Linked DNA regions of Sus scrofa. The protein of the gene in region 1 purifies or fractionates together with the protein of each later gene. This does not show direct contact. Links are inferred from orthologs where the notes say so. Each region holds a gene or a part of one and is shown on either strand. Other genes may lie near its edges.

The links.
Region 2: the proteins of SNRPA1 (region 1) and SRRM2 fractionate together in Homo sapiens (co-fractionation; 3 studies listed by BioGRID, with this or other methods). This does not show direct contact. The link is inferred for Sus scrofa from reciprocal best matches to the Homo sapiens genes SNRPA1 and SRRM2.
Region 3: the proteins of SNRPA1 (region 1) and SNRPD1 purify together in Homo sapiens (affinity purification with mass spectrometry; 4 studies listed by BioGRID and IntAct, counting the BioPlex papers as one, with this or other methods). This does not show direct contact. The link is inferred for Sus scrofa from reciprocal best matches to the Homo sapiens genes SNRPA1 and SNRPD1.

Annotation. Positions count from the first base shown.
Region 1 is NC_010443.5:145,705,920-145,710,199, forward strand, and holds the start of SNRPA1 (U2 small nuclear ribonucleoprotein A'), read left to right. Parts: upstream 1-1,473; 5' UTR 1,474-1,551; coding exon 1,552-1,633; intron 1,634-3,129; coding exon 3,130-3,277; intron 3,278-4,244; coding exon 4,245-4,280. UniProt on the Homo sapiens protein: Involved in pre-mRNA splicing as component of the spliceosome. Associated with sn-RNP U2, where it contributes to the binding of stem loop IV of U2 snRNA.
Region 2 is NC_010445.4:39,274,297-39,278,452, forward strand, and holds the start of SRRM2 (serine/arginine repetitive matrix protein 2), read left to right. Parts: upstream 1-1,317; 5' UTR 1,318-1,861; intron 1,862-4,156. UniProt on the Homo sapiens protein: Required for pre-mRNA splicing as component of the spliceosome. As a component of the minor spliceosome, involved in the splicing of U12-type introns in pre-mRNAs.
Region 3 is NC_010448.4:106,796,909-106,801,039, forward strand, and holds the start of SNRPD1 (small nuclear ribonucleoprotein Sm D1), read left to right. Parts: upstream 1-1,292; 5' UTR 1,293-1,436; coding exon 1,437-1,450; exon of another isoform or gene 1,451-1,471; intron 1,472-1,682; exon of another isoform or gene 1,683-1,757; intron 1,758-4,131. UniProt on the Homo sapiens protein: Plays a role in pre-mRNA splicing as a core component of the spliceosomal U1, U2, U4 and U5 small nuclear ribonucleoproteins (snRNPs), the building blocks of the spliceosome.

The DNA.
Region 1 (4,280 bases):
GTATTGTTTTTGTTTTTTTGCAAAATAGGCGAGGCAGTCACATTTCTTATCCTTCTGATTAAAATTACAGCCCAGATTATGATTTTGGTGATTTGGGAAATAAGATGTTTTCTTAAACAGACCAAAATGTACTAAAATTTGTGTTTTGCAGCTTGATGATGTATACGAGGACAGTATTTTGGCTTCCTGTGAGGTGTTTGGTATTTAGGAAGTTTAAACTACTACCCCCCAAAAAAGAGTAAAAGGCAAGCCATATAGTATGCTCACACTCAGAATATATAAAGAAATCTTAAAAGGAATAAGAAAAAAGAAAACCCACTAAGAAAAAAAATGGGAGAAAGACTTGAATGGGCACTTTGTAAAAAAATATCAGAATGGACAATATGCTTAACTATTATTAGAAAAAAGCAAATGAAAGCAATAGTGCACTGGTACTCACCAGAATTGCTAAAATTATGAAGACTGACAGTGCAAATGAGGTTAATGTTGGCAAGTGATGGAAACCCTTACACACCACTACAGTGTGGAAATGATTCCAGCCTCTTGGAAGTTATCATCAGGCAGTACCTATCAATAATACCACACACTTTGTCTCCTTAGTTTCACTCCTGGAAAAGTTCAGGCACAGGTGCATGCGATCCACGTACAACAAAATTCATAGCAGCATTATGCAGACTAGCCCCAAGCTGGAAACAAACCTAATGTCCATCGACAGCGAAATGGATTGTTATGGTGTAAGAGACGCAATAGAATTCTATACAGCAGCAAGTAAGCAAATCATTGCTGCCTGCAACCTGGATGGATTTTAGGCATGACACAGAGCCAAAGAAACCAGATACAAAAACAGATTGCATCATTCTCTTTATATAAAAGTAAGCAAAACTAATCTATGGTGACGGATTCGTAGTTCCCTTTGGGGAATGAAGGAGTCTCCGAATTTCAGGACCCCAGCAGCAGCCACCCAAATGTGCTCACTCTGTGGGCATTTGTCATGTTGCAGACTTTAGATCTGCACACTTCCTGTGTTATCAGGCTTCAGCATGAATATCTAATTGTCTAGAGAGGGCAGGCCTGACTGCAAACTAGACCAGTGCGGAAGACCCAGGCTTGGTCTTCATGGTGTCACCCGGATGCCAAAGCCCGGGACCCATCACTGAATCCCATGGGCGGAGTGAAAGCAGTCACTGCCTCCCTTTCACCTCTAGGTGTCCTGACGCACGCGAAAGTTCCACTCGTGGGCTTTCACTCTTTATTAACTTGCGGACACAAATATCTGGACTCGGGGGCACTGCAGGCCGAAGCTGCACAAGAGGAACGAACTCAGAACCAGATGCGCCGCGGAGAGCGCGGGAGCTAAAGCCCAAAAGCTGTGCCCGAGCCCGGGGGCGGGGCCGATCACGGAGGAAATGGCTCCTCGATTGATTAGGCCTGGGAGCCGCGCTGTTAGCACACGCCGGAAGCGATTGATGCTGCCTGGCGGCGGGCGCGGGGTACGCCGGGACGTCGGTGCGGCGGGAGGAGCGGGAGACACTGCAGGCGGGAGGCGACAGGATGGTGAAGCTGACGGCGGAGCTGATCGAGCAGGCGGCGCAATACACCAACGCCGTGCGGGACCGCGAGCTGGACTTGCGAGGTGAGTCGGGCGGGGGCGGGCGGCCCGGCCTCCCCGCCCGCTCGGCGGCCTGCGCCCGCCGCGTGCGCGAAGGGCGGGAACGTGGCCTGGGGCGTGCGTCCCGGTTCCTACCCCGGCTGAGTCCCGCTGTCGTCGGCGAAACGCCGACCCTGGACTCCTTCGAGGCTCTCCTTAGCCCAGCCCCCACCGCCCGGGACCGCCTCGATGCTTGGGTCAGACCGCGGGGCCGGTGCCGGGCCTGCCGAGTGACCTGAGCCGTTGGGGGGCGGGGAAGTACACGCCTGCGGGGTGGGCTGAGCCGTTGGGGTGCTGAGCCGTGTTTGTGATCCTCGTGCGGACCGAGATACGGTAAAGTGAAGTCATGAGAATATAGGTTGGGTATGGGACGGAGGAAGTGAAGTCCGGAGCAAAAGCGATTTTTTTTCCCGGCTTTTCCTCCTCCTTAGCTTCAAGGATCTATTTCCCTTTTGCCAAAACCTTTCAAAGAGCAGACTGTTTCAGCCACGCTAGGGCTGCCGGATGTCTTGCGTCTATAAGGGAGGCGGAAGTCCTCCAGACTATTAGATTCCTGTGGCAACTCGTCTGCATAGTAGGAGAGGCTTTAGAAAGGGTGTGAAGGACGACTTCTCCGGGGTTAAGTGTTGGCTTGAGATCCACCCCCACGGGGGAGAACACCGTCTCAGGAGCAGCACTGCTGCGGGCCCTGCTTTCTGCTTGCTTTTTTGTTTGCTGACATAGTACTTTCGTTTTGTTGAAATTAAATATCATAGGTTCGACTCAAGAGTAACCCACCGCTTTCATACTCTTGGCACAGGCTGATGTCTGCCTGAGTTTGAAGTGCATCCGGTGTTGAGAATGCTCGTTTTGGTACAGCACTTAACTTTGAGCCTTTAGAGCTCTGAAATGTGTACTTATTTAACCTTGCCTAGGTTAACTTCTTTTCTTCTCCTAGCACCTAAGACAATAATTATGCCCCTAGAAGACAAATCAGTGAGCGTTTGAGTGAGTTGTTCACAAGGTGATTTACCATTGTGTACAAATTGACCTTCAACTCTGGGTTGGGCCTCTGGGAGGTGAGAGAAGTGGGAACTGTCATGATACGAAGATATCCAAATGAGTTCTGGGAATCTGACCTGTGGAAATGCAAAAAAGGTTGGGAGCTATTACTGTCCACAATACGTGGACAAGGCTTGGACACTGACAGTAGGCAGCTCACAGTGTAAAGTCCTGTTAGGCCACTTCATTAGCTTTGGGGCCTTGCTTAGAACAATACAAGGCACCTTGTAAGTATACTTGGAAATGTTAGCTACCTATTAGTATTACTGTTAGCGAGTATTCTCATCTTTATTGCCCTTGTAATCAACCAGTGCTTTGGCAGTGTTTGGCACAGCATAGGTGCTAGATAAACAACTTTCTGATTGAATGAAAGCTTTGAGTCCAATTACCATGAAATGCTGCTAATGTTTCCTTGTGTGTTTTTTCCCTCCTTTCTCCAGGGTACAAAATTCCTGTCATTGAAAATCTAGGTGCTACCTTAGACCAATTTGATGCCATTGATTTTTCTGACAATGAAATCAGGAAACTAGATGGTTTTCCTTTGCTGAGAAGACTGAAAACATTGTTAGTGAACAACAATAGAATATGGTAAGTGTCTACTAGTGGAAAGTAATTTTTGTTCCCCTAGAGTAAATGTAGCAGAGTTCCATAAAGAAGTTGCAGTATTGCCAGTTACACCTACGTATTTCTTAAATGGAAAATGAACTACACTTTTCCCATACAGATCCAGAGATGAATTTGGTATTGGTCTGGTCTTACTTGCATCTATTCAGAAATCTTGTATTATTTATGTATTCATGGTACATTTCTAATTTAAGTTAAAAACCTACTGCTTTGGGGAGTTCCCATTATGGCTCAGCAGGTTAAGAACCCAGCTAGTATCCATGAGGATCTGGGTTCAATCCCTGGCTTTGCCTGGTGGTTTTAGAATCTGGCATTGCCATAAGCTGCGGCATAGGTAGCAGATGTGGCTCGGATCTGGCATTTCTGTGGCTGTAGTGTAGGCCGGCAGCTTTGGCTTTCATTTGACCCCTAGCCTGGGAACCTCCATATGCTGTGGGTGCAGCCTTAAAAAGACACACAGACACACACACACACACACACAATAGAAGTGCTGGGTAGTGAGTTGCTTTTTTTTAAATGCCCATTATTTCTCGTGAGTTAACTATTCCACTGTGGTTTGCTTACTGGCTTATCTTGTGCCTGAGCTCTGACTGCAGAATCACTTATGTTTTTGGGCTTCACACAGGTCCTGAGATGAACTAAGTAGTCTGTTTTACACAGGAATTTCTTGTCTTTGGTTTCGTTAAGATAGTGTGGCAGTAGGAAGGGCCCTGGACATCTTTCAGGAGATGTGGGTTTTAAAGTCATCCTACTTCTGTCACCTGTGTGACCTCAGACAGTTCTTTTTGTGCCTTATTTTCCTGTCAGGGTCTTGGAAGAAAGATCTCTTAAGTTTCTTCCCACTCTGAAGCCCTCTGAGCAAGGGCTCAGATAAAATTTTTAGCTGACTTAATTTGCATGTTTACTAAGAGTCCTTCTGTTTTTATTTCAGCCGTATAGGTGAGGGACTTGATCAGGCTCTGCCCTG
Region 2 (4,156 bases), on another chromosome or scaffold:
GTTCATGTCTCATTTTTCGACTGACCATCCAAGCCATGTCCCCAACACTGATGAGGGTGTAAGAACCTGGACTAACCAGGGCAGCCGAGCGCAAACTGCAGTTCGAGCAGGAGGTGGGGACTCCAGCTGAAACTGTGGCCTGCCTGGGAAGCCTCGCTTCTTCCACCTCTGTTCTGAGGGAGACTGGCTGCTCTCCCACTGGAAAAAACTGGACTCAGGCACTCTGCAGAGGGGTGGAAAACTTCAGGGCGTCGGTAACGTTTTCGCCCTAACACGTATATGATACATCTCAGGTTCCCTAAGAGAAAAAGCTCATCGCCCCCTTACAGGCGGGGGATGGTAACAAAAAATCATCCCCGGGGTGCAGCCGCCCGGTTCAACACTGTCTGCGGCGGGCAGAAGCTGCGAACAAGACCGCCTACTGGCCGGGCCTAAGGCTCAAGCCCTGAGCCAGACGCTGGGCTCTGGGGTTCCCGGGATGTCCGCTGGCCGGGGTCTGGGCGGGGTGGTAGAGGTCTCCCGGGTGCGGAAGGACAGGGGACGGCAATCACCTGGGAGCCGCAGGGTCCCTGGGCTTGGGACCATCGCCTCCCAACATGGGGAGACAAAATGGCCGCGTGAGGGGAAGGCGAAGCTACTTAAGGGTTCCGCGTCCTCCTAGAACTACAACTCCCAGGATACCCTGGGACGAAGTCGGGAGGTCAAGGAGAGCCCTCGCGCTGGCTATGTGGCGATAGGCCCTATGTCTTCCGCCTCCCAGCGGAAACTGTCGAGAATGCGTTGCTTGCATTCTCGGTCCGCTCCTCCGACCGCGTCGGCAACGGGCCGACGGGAATCATAGTTCTTCGACAACGGAGTTGCCCTTCCCTCGGGCCTTAATTAACTACACTTCCCGGTGCAGTCTCGGCGCCTGCGCACAAGGCCGTGGAGAGTACTACGGCTCCCGGCGTGCCCTGCGACGCGCGCGGTAGCGTGCTGACGTTCTTAGTCCGTCGTGCTGACGTGCAGCGCGGCCCAGGCGGGGTGCGAGTGGCGCAGTCGGAGCCCGCTGCGGCCCCTGAGGAAGCGAGGAGGCGTCTGTGTCGGCTGAGACGGGCGGACCGGGGAGGCAAGGCGGCGACTCCAGGCGCCGAGGGACTCAGGACCTCGAGCGGCGGCGGCGGCAACAGCTCTCCCCCTCGGAAGCGGCGGGCGGAGGCGGCGGCGGCGGGTGAGGGAGCGCGCGAGCCGGGTGGGGGAGGGGCGGCGGCCCCGGCGCTAGGCCAAAGCGCGCGGAGAACGGCTCAGGCCGCCGCGCGCACGCGCGCTGGCCACCCCTAGCTCGTGCGGACGTTCTCGCTTGCCTGCCTTCCCTTCCCCCTCCTCGGGGTTCTTACCGCGCGCGGGTCTTTATTCCTCCTCCCCTCCCCCATGGTAACGGCGCGCGCCGCCGACTGCCCTCGGCCTCGCGCGCGTTCTCGGCGAGGAGGGGGGAGCGCGCGACTCGGCTTCCCGGCTCCCCAGCGCGTGCGGCCGGGAGGCCCTCCTGCAGCTGTCCTTGCCGACATTTTCTCGGCGGGGAGGGGGCGGCGGCGGCGCGCCGGGGGGGGGCGCTCCCGGCTCCTCACCCCTGAGCCTCTCGGTTTGGTCAACCCGTCCCTCCCGGAGGCTTGTGGTCCGGCCTTGAGCCTCCCAGACTACGGGGCGCCGCTCAGCCCCCTCCCTCTCCCTCAAGGCCGAAAATAGGCCCTGGTGGCTCAGCCAGTGCAGAGAAGGCCTTGAACTTAAACGCCCAAGAGATTTAAGACAGTTCGGATGCGTTACTCTCTGTCTTGAAGCGTTAAAAAAGGGAAACGTTTAGGAAAAAAGTCCTTCAGTCTAGGTACGTAGAGGCAGGCCATGTACTGCTTTCTCAGTTTTTCTTTTGTTTCTTTCGCTCCTTCTCTTTCTTTCCTCTTTCCCCGTGTTTTGTTATTTACCAAAAAGTTATGTTAAAGTTAGGGAAGAGGCTGCCAGCCTCAGGAAACGCTGGACTTTGTCTTCATTTGGCGCCCAAGTCTTCTAGTTTTTGGTTTCCTCTCAGACGCCTCTTTAAGATATATTTTGGGTCGAAAAATTGAGAAAGTGTTTTGTGTTTTTTTTCTTCTCCTGAGTGTGTGAGTTTGGATTTCTTCCTGAGCGAGTATTTTCGTTTTCTGGGCTGCCTAGTGTCCACTCAGCTACCACACTGCTCCTGTACTGAGCTTATTGCGCTGTTACTCAGGTCCATTTTTCTGCACACTCCCCACCCCTTTTGGTGCATTTCTCTTCTTAAATACCGTATTATTGGATTTTGAAACTCCTTTCTGCTTAGTTAGTTTGGTACTGTGATGATTTTCCAACAGTAAAAAAACCTCCCTTTCGTCTTTCTTTGCAGCTTGCTTTTGCTTTTTTGCCGCATGCTTGGGTGATGATTTTTTGCATATGCACAGACTGCGAACCCCAGTTTAAGAATCCTTATGTGGTTTTGATGATCTGTGTGTGTTGTTGATACACTTTTTTGTCTATTCGTTCTTAAAATGTTTTGAGCGCCGTCTTGAATGGTGTGTTTGTGGCTTCGTTATTGGCTCATTCCCTATAAGCGTTCCCATCTGTTGTGACTTAATAGATTTTAAAGTGCACGCTTATCATCTACTGGTTTTCCTTCTCCAGGGAGTGGGAGGATTATTGTGTGAGGAGGTATGGAAGTGTGGGTGAATGGTTGAGTTGAAGAATTAATTGCAGATCAGAAGCGTTCTGCAAGGGAAGCAGAAACCAAGTAGGGTATAGAAAGCCAAAGAGGACTTAGGTTTAGAGTGGGGCGGAGAAAAATAACAAAAAAAAAGATAAAAATGGAGGTTGAAGGATTTCATATGCTATAAAGGTTTTCATTTATTTTCATATAGTTCCACTGACTTTTCGTAGATTTAGCTTTATGTGTCACTCCTTTACCCCAGTAGGGATTTTTTTTTTTTTTTCCCTCCAGAGTCTGCAATTGGGATTGAACAGAGTCCCAACCTTAGAGTTGAGGGTTAAGGGGCTCCAAATTGTTAGAGTTGGGCCATTGCCATTTCAGTCAACATCTCTCTCCACTTAGGTGTGGGGAGGGCTTTTAGTACCTTCATCCAGATGTTCCTTCTGGGGGTTTCTAAAATGAAGCCTTCCCTTTTATCCAGTTATATATATTTTTTTTCCCCTCTGCTTTCACTACTTTCTCCCTTTGTTCCTTGGGTTCGTTCCTGGGGTTGTTTCCCTCACACATTTCCCCTGTGAAAACTACCTTTGACAGGATGAGTTGGAGAAAAAAAATATATAGCAGGAGAAAGGAATAGAGTATATTTAGCCAAGAAATTTAATCAGAAAAACTAGGGTTTGAGGGCTCTTCAGAGCCACACCCGGGTTGGGACAGGTTGAGAGGGTAGAAGTTCTGGTGGCAGGTGCAGGATGATGAGTGAGAGGGCGAGGAGGGCTGGAGGAGGAAGCCAGGAAGTGAGGTCCTGGGACTCTTAGGGAAAGCTGATGTAACGAATGTGAGGTACGAAGAGTGGGAGTTTTCTGAGTAAGGGTAGGGGAAGGAATGTAGAGAAGGGGACAGTTGAAACAGGGCAGGCTAGTTTGATGTGTTCAGAGAATTGAGTTGAAAATTAATATTTATCAGGAACTGGTGAGACTTGGGAGCCACACACCACACGAGAAAGCCTGTTGGGAAGGAATCCACGTCAGTTGGGATAGTTAATAGGAAGCGGCCCCTTGTCTGGGAGGTGAGGTGTGAGGGTTATATACAAATCAAGGTTCATGTGTTTCGGATGTTCGTGCTGGCCTTTAGTCTGGGCCACTTGTTTGAATACTTAGGGGCTATTTAGTCGATTTGTATTCATAATTTCAGGGTACTTTCAGGGTAGCATGAAATCTTTAGGTCAATTCTTAGAACAGTCTTTAAACTTGGAATGCAGGCCCTTGGGTGCCACAGATCTTTCTTTGGTGTTTGTTGTGCCCAGTTTGGAGGCCTCAGTTGCCAGGGGTTAGGAGTTAGTTGGGCCAAGGGAGAATAAAAGGACAGTGTGGAGAAATTTGGGATAAATAGTATCTTTGGGGTGGGAAAAGAACGAGCTGCAAACAGGAATGGCTTTCACGCGGTGAGGGAAAAGGTTGTAGGGCT
Region 3 (4,131 bases), on another chromosome or scaffold:
CAGAAGTTTGTATTGGGTTTTTGATCACCATTAGAAAAGCAATCTCAGTGTATTTGAAGATCGAATTACAAGGCAATAAAAACAAGTTATAGACAGCTCATTTAAGGAGGTTTTCTGTGGAAGAAATCTGGTGGGAGCTAGAGCTGCATGAGAGGAGAATTTTTTTTTTTTAAGACCTCACCTGCAGCAAATGGAAGCTTGAATCAGAGCTGCAGCTGAGGCCTACACTACAGCTACGGCAACACTGGATCTGAGCTGCATCTGTGAACTACGCTGCAGCTTGTGGCAACACTGGAGCCGTAACCCACTGAATGAGGCCAGGGATAGATCCCACATCCTCATGAATACTAGTCAGGTTCTTACCCTGCCGAGTTCCCACAACTGGCACTACAAAATTTTTTCTTTCTTCCTTTCCTTTTTTTCTTTTTCCATTTTTGGCCATCTCCGAGGCATATGGAGTTCCCAGACCAGGAATCAGATCCAACCTACAGTTGGAACCCACACTACAGCCAGCTGTAGCAATGCAGGGCTGGACATCAAACCCGCGTCCTGGAGCTGCAGAGATGCTGCCCAATCCTGTTGCGCCACAGTGGGAACTCGTTGCTTGTTTGTTTTTTAGATAAATTTATATGTTGATAGAAAAAATCAGTAGAGAAGGAGGAATTGATGATTCAAATTAGAAGGGGATCATTGAAGGAGTGAAATTCTTGAGGAAATGAGATGGGATCCAGACTACAACCAAGAGGAATTTGCTTTCCAAAGGAGCAATAATACTTCTATCGTTGTCACAGAAAGGGAAGCAGAAGGATGGCTTCTGTTTTCTAAAAGTAGGATACGTTAGAGAGTGATTTGGGAGAAGAACTGTAAAAGGTTTGAGATAAAGAGAAGAAAGAAGGTATGAAATACTTTGTGAGCTTATTAGAGAAGCATAACGATCTCTGGGCAGTGCAAGGGACACTTTTGAGGTTTGTGACCAGAATTTAAAGTGAAAATAATCAGTTAAATTGTATGATTTTCTTCAGCACATTAAGTAACGCTGAGATACCTGGTGGTGGAGCATAATCCTTTGGGATTCTCCAATTATTTCCTTTCATTCACGAGAAAATTTGGTGCTACATAATACCCGGAGCCTTGTTATGCTCGCTAATAGGATTTAATTTCCTGAAATACTCTCTCTTACAGGAAGTTTCCTCCTGGATCGGCCCTAAACGCCCTTAACAGTTGCAAGGCACACCTCCTGCCGCCAGAGGCCGCACTGGCGCTACTCGCGGCCGGAAGGGAGAGTGGCCCAAGCGCAGCCTCGGCGTTTCCGCCGTGAGTGCGCAGGGATCCGCGCGCTCTTTACGTCGATCCCCGGGAGTAAGCGTTTCCGGTCATTCATTCTCCCTGCGGGTCGGCCTCTGCGGTGGGGTTTTGTGTACTATCGGACCGAGAGGATGAAGCTCGTGAGGTGAGGAGGTGACCGAGCAGGGTGGGTACTATGAGGGGATGTCCTGGACCGGGAGCGGGGGGGTTGAGCTGCCCGAGATGCAGGAGGCGCGAAAGCCGCGTGCGCGCGCGGCCTGCTAACGGCCTTCGGCGCCCGCCGCTCCCGCCCCATCTTGGTCGCGTCGCCGCGGGCACTCGACCAGGCTTCAGACTGGGTCGCCCAGGGATCTGCGGGTCTTCCGAGAGGTTGAAGGCCGGGCGGTGTTTTCCCATCAGGTGTCTTAGAGGCCTTAAAAGTACAGAGCCAGGCTTACAAGCTCTTACTTTCGGTGAGTTACAGACTTCCGTTTCTGTTAGAACGTTTCTGGCTCGTCTCAGCACTCAGGAACCGGCAAATTTAACTAGGTCCACGCTTCCTGAGAACGTGGGAGACATAAAAATTGTACATCCTGCACAAGTAGTTTAAATTAATGCATATTTTTTAATGAAACTACCGTCACACTTAAAAGAGTACTTAGAAGCTGCAGGGGTTTATCTGGAGATAATGAAATCCAATTCCGAAGTATTTTAAATCAGGGATCAGGGATGGACTTCTGATTTCCTGAGGTTTTTTTTTTTTTTAATAGTGTTTTTTTTCCCTCTTGTTGTTATTCCCTAGCCTTAAGATTATTCAACTTACATTTCCCTTTAAAATAGCCCTTTGATTTAGGAAAAAACCTCTCAATATGGGGTAGAATCACTCTTCCGTACTTTTTGGCTGATTACACAGATAATCGAGATTTATTCTGTTTATTTCTGTATTTAAATTTGGTCGATTAGTTGAGCCTGCTGAAGACTCGTTTACTGGTTGAGCTAATTCATCACAAAAACTACCTGCAAATAGATTGAGTTCTGATGTTTCTCCTTGAGGCTGAGAGCCTGGAACATAGAAGCAGAGGCTTTTACAACTCAGCCGGCAGTTATAAACTAGCTTAACTAGTTTATTGTCTGTTGAGTCAAGAATTGTCAATGTCGACCAAATAGTTAAGCACATGGAGTTCTTGGACCAGGGAACACATCCTAGCTGCATTTGCAACCTACTCGGCAACTGCAGCAATGCTGGACTGTGCCGGTGGGGATTGAACTGGGGATCGAACCTGCATCCCAGTGCTCCAGAGACGCCAAGAATCCCAGTTGTGCTACAGCAGTAGCCCACCCCCCCCTTAAAGAGTCCTATGTTGTAGTAGCGTTCGTTTTGCAGAGAAGATAGACAAGAAGATAGTTTGAGATAACATAAAGAATCCTCATTGTCATATTCAGGCTGGTGTTTGTAGAGAAGGCATTTAAGATTGACTTTTTGTCTATTTTTTTCCCTTCCAGTTTTATTGAGATGTAACTGGCTTTCAGCATTGTGTAACTTTAAGGTATATAACATAATGATTTTTTTTGGCCGTGCCAAAGGCATGTGGAAGTTCCCAGGCCAGGTATCGAACCTGTGCCATAGCAGCAACCCAAGGCTGCAATGACAACACTGGATTCTTTCTTTATTGACCAGCTGCACCACGAGGGAACTCCCACAGCATAATGATTTGATTTACGTACATCATAAAGAGTGTAGTGAACATCCATCATCTCATGTAGATATAAAATTAAAGAAATAGACAAAAAAATTTTTTTTCTTCTGATGAGAACTCATGATTTACTCTCAACAACTTTAATATATAACATACAGCAGTATTGATTACATTTATCATATTGCATATTACATTTCTAGTTCTTACTTATAACTGAAAGACTTTGTCCATTTTATTTGAGGTATAACTTTGAAGGTAAACATCTCAGAACTTAAAGTTTATTTTTTTTTCTTTTTTTTAGGGTCACATCCACGGCATATGGAAGTTCCCAGGTTAGGGGTCTAATCAGAGCAACAGATGCCAGCCTACGCCACAGCCACAGCAACGCCAGATCCAGCCATGTCTGCAGTCCACACCACAGCTCATGGCAACGCCAGATCCTTAACACACTGATCGAGGCCAGGGATTGAACCTACAACCTCATGGTTCCTAGTCGGATTCATTGTAGCTGTATCCCGACAGGAACTCCTAAAGTTTATTTTCTTAATGTCTGAATACTTGCCAGTCAGAGTCTTAGTATAGATAATACTCTTTGGAGTCTTTTGTCCCACTTAACGATAGTCCATGTTGTGACAGAATTTTCCTATAAAATTTTTTTTTTTTTTTTTTTTTTTTTTTGGTCTTTTCTGGGGCCGCACCTTCGGCATATGGAGGTTCCCAAGTCTAATCATAGATGTAGCCACCGGCCTACGACAGAGCCACAGCAACTTGGGATCCAAGCCGCATCTGTGATCTACACCACAGCTTATGGCAACACCAGATCCTTAATCCACTGAGTGAGGCCAGAGATTGAACCCGAAACCTCATGGTTCCTAGTCGTGTTCGTTAACCACTGCACCACGACAGGAACTCCTCCTATAAATATTAATGCTGTACTGAATCCTATTCTGTGTCTTAGACTATAGAAGCAAAATTCCTAATAATTGGAGAATGTATTTTGCACTGGGAAAATGGGTTTTGTATAACTAGTTTGCTAGGGATCCAGTCTGAGCTATAGCCAATGGCCTGTTCCACAGCCACAGCAACATAGGATCTGAGCTGCGTCTGTGACCTATACCACAGCTCATGGCAACGCCAGATCCTTAACCTA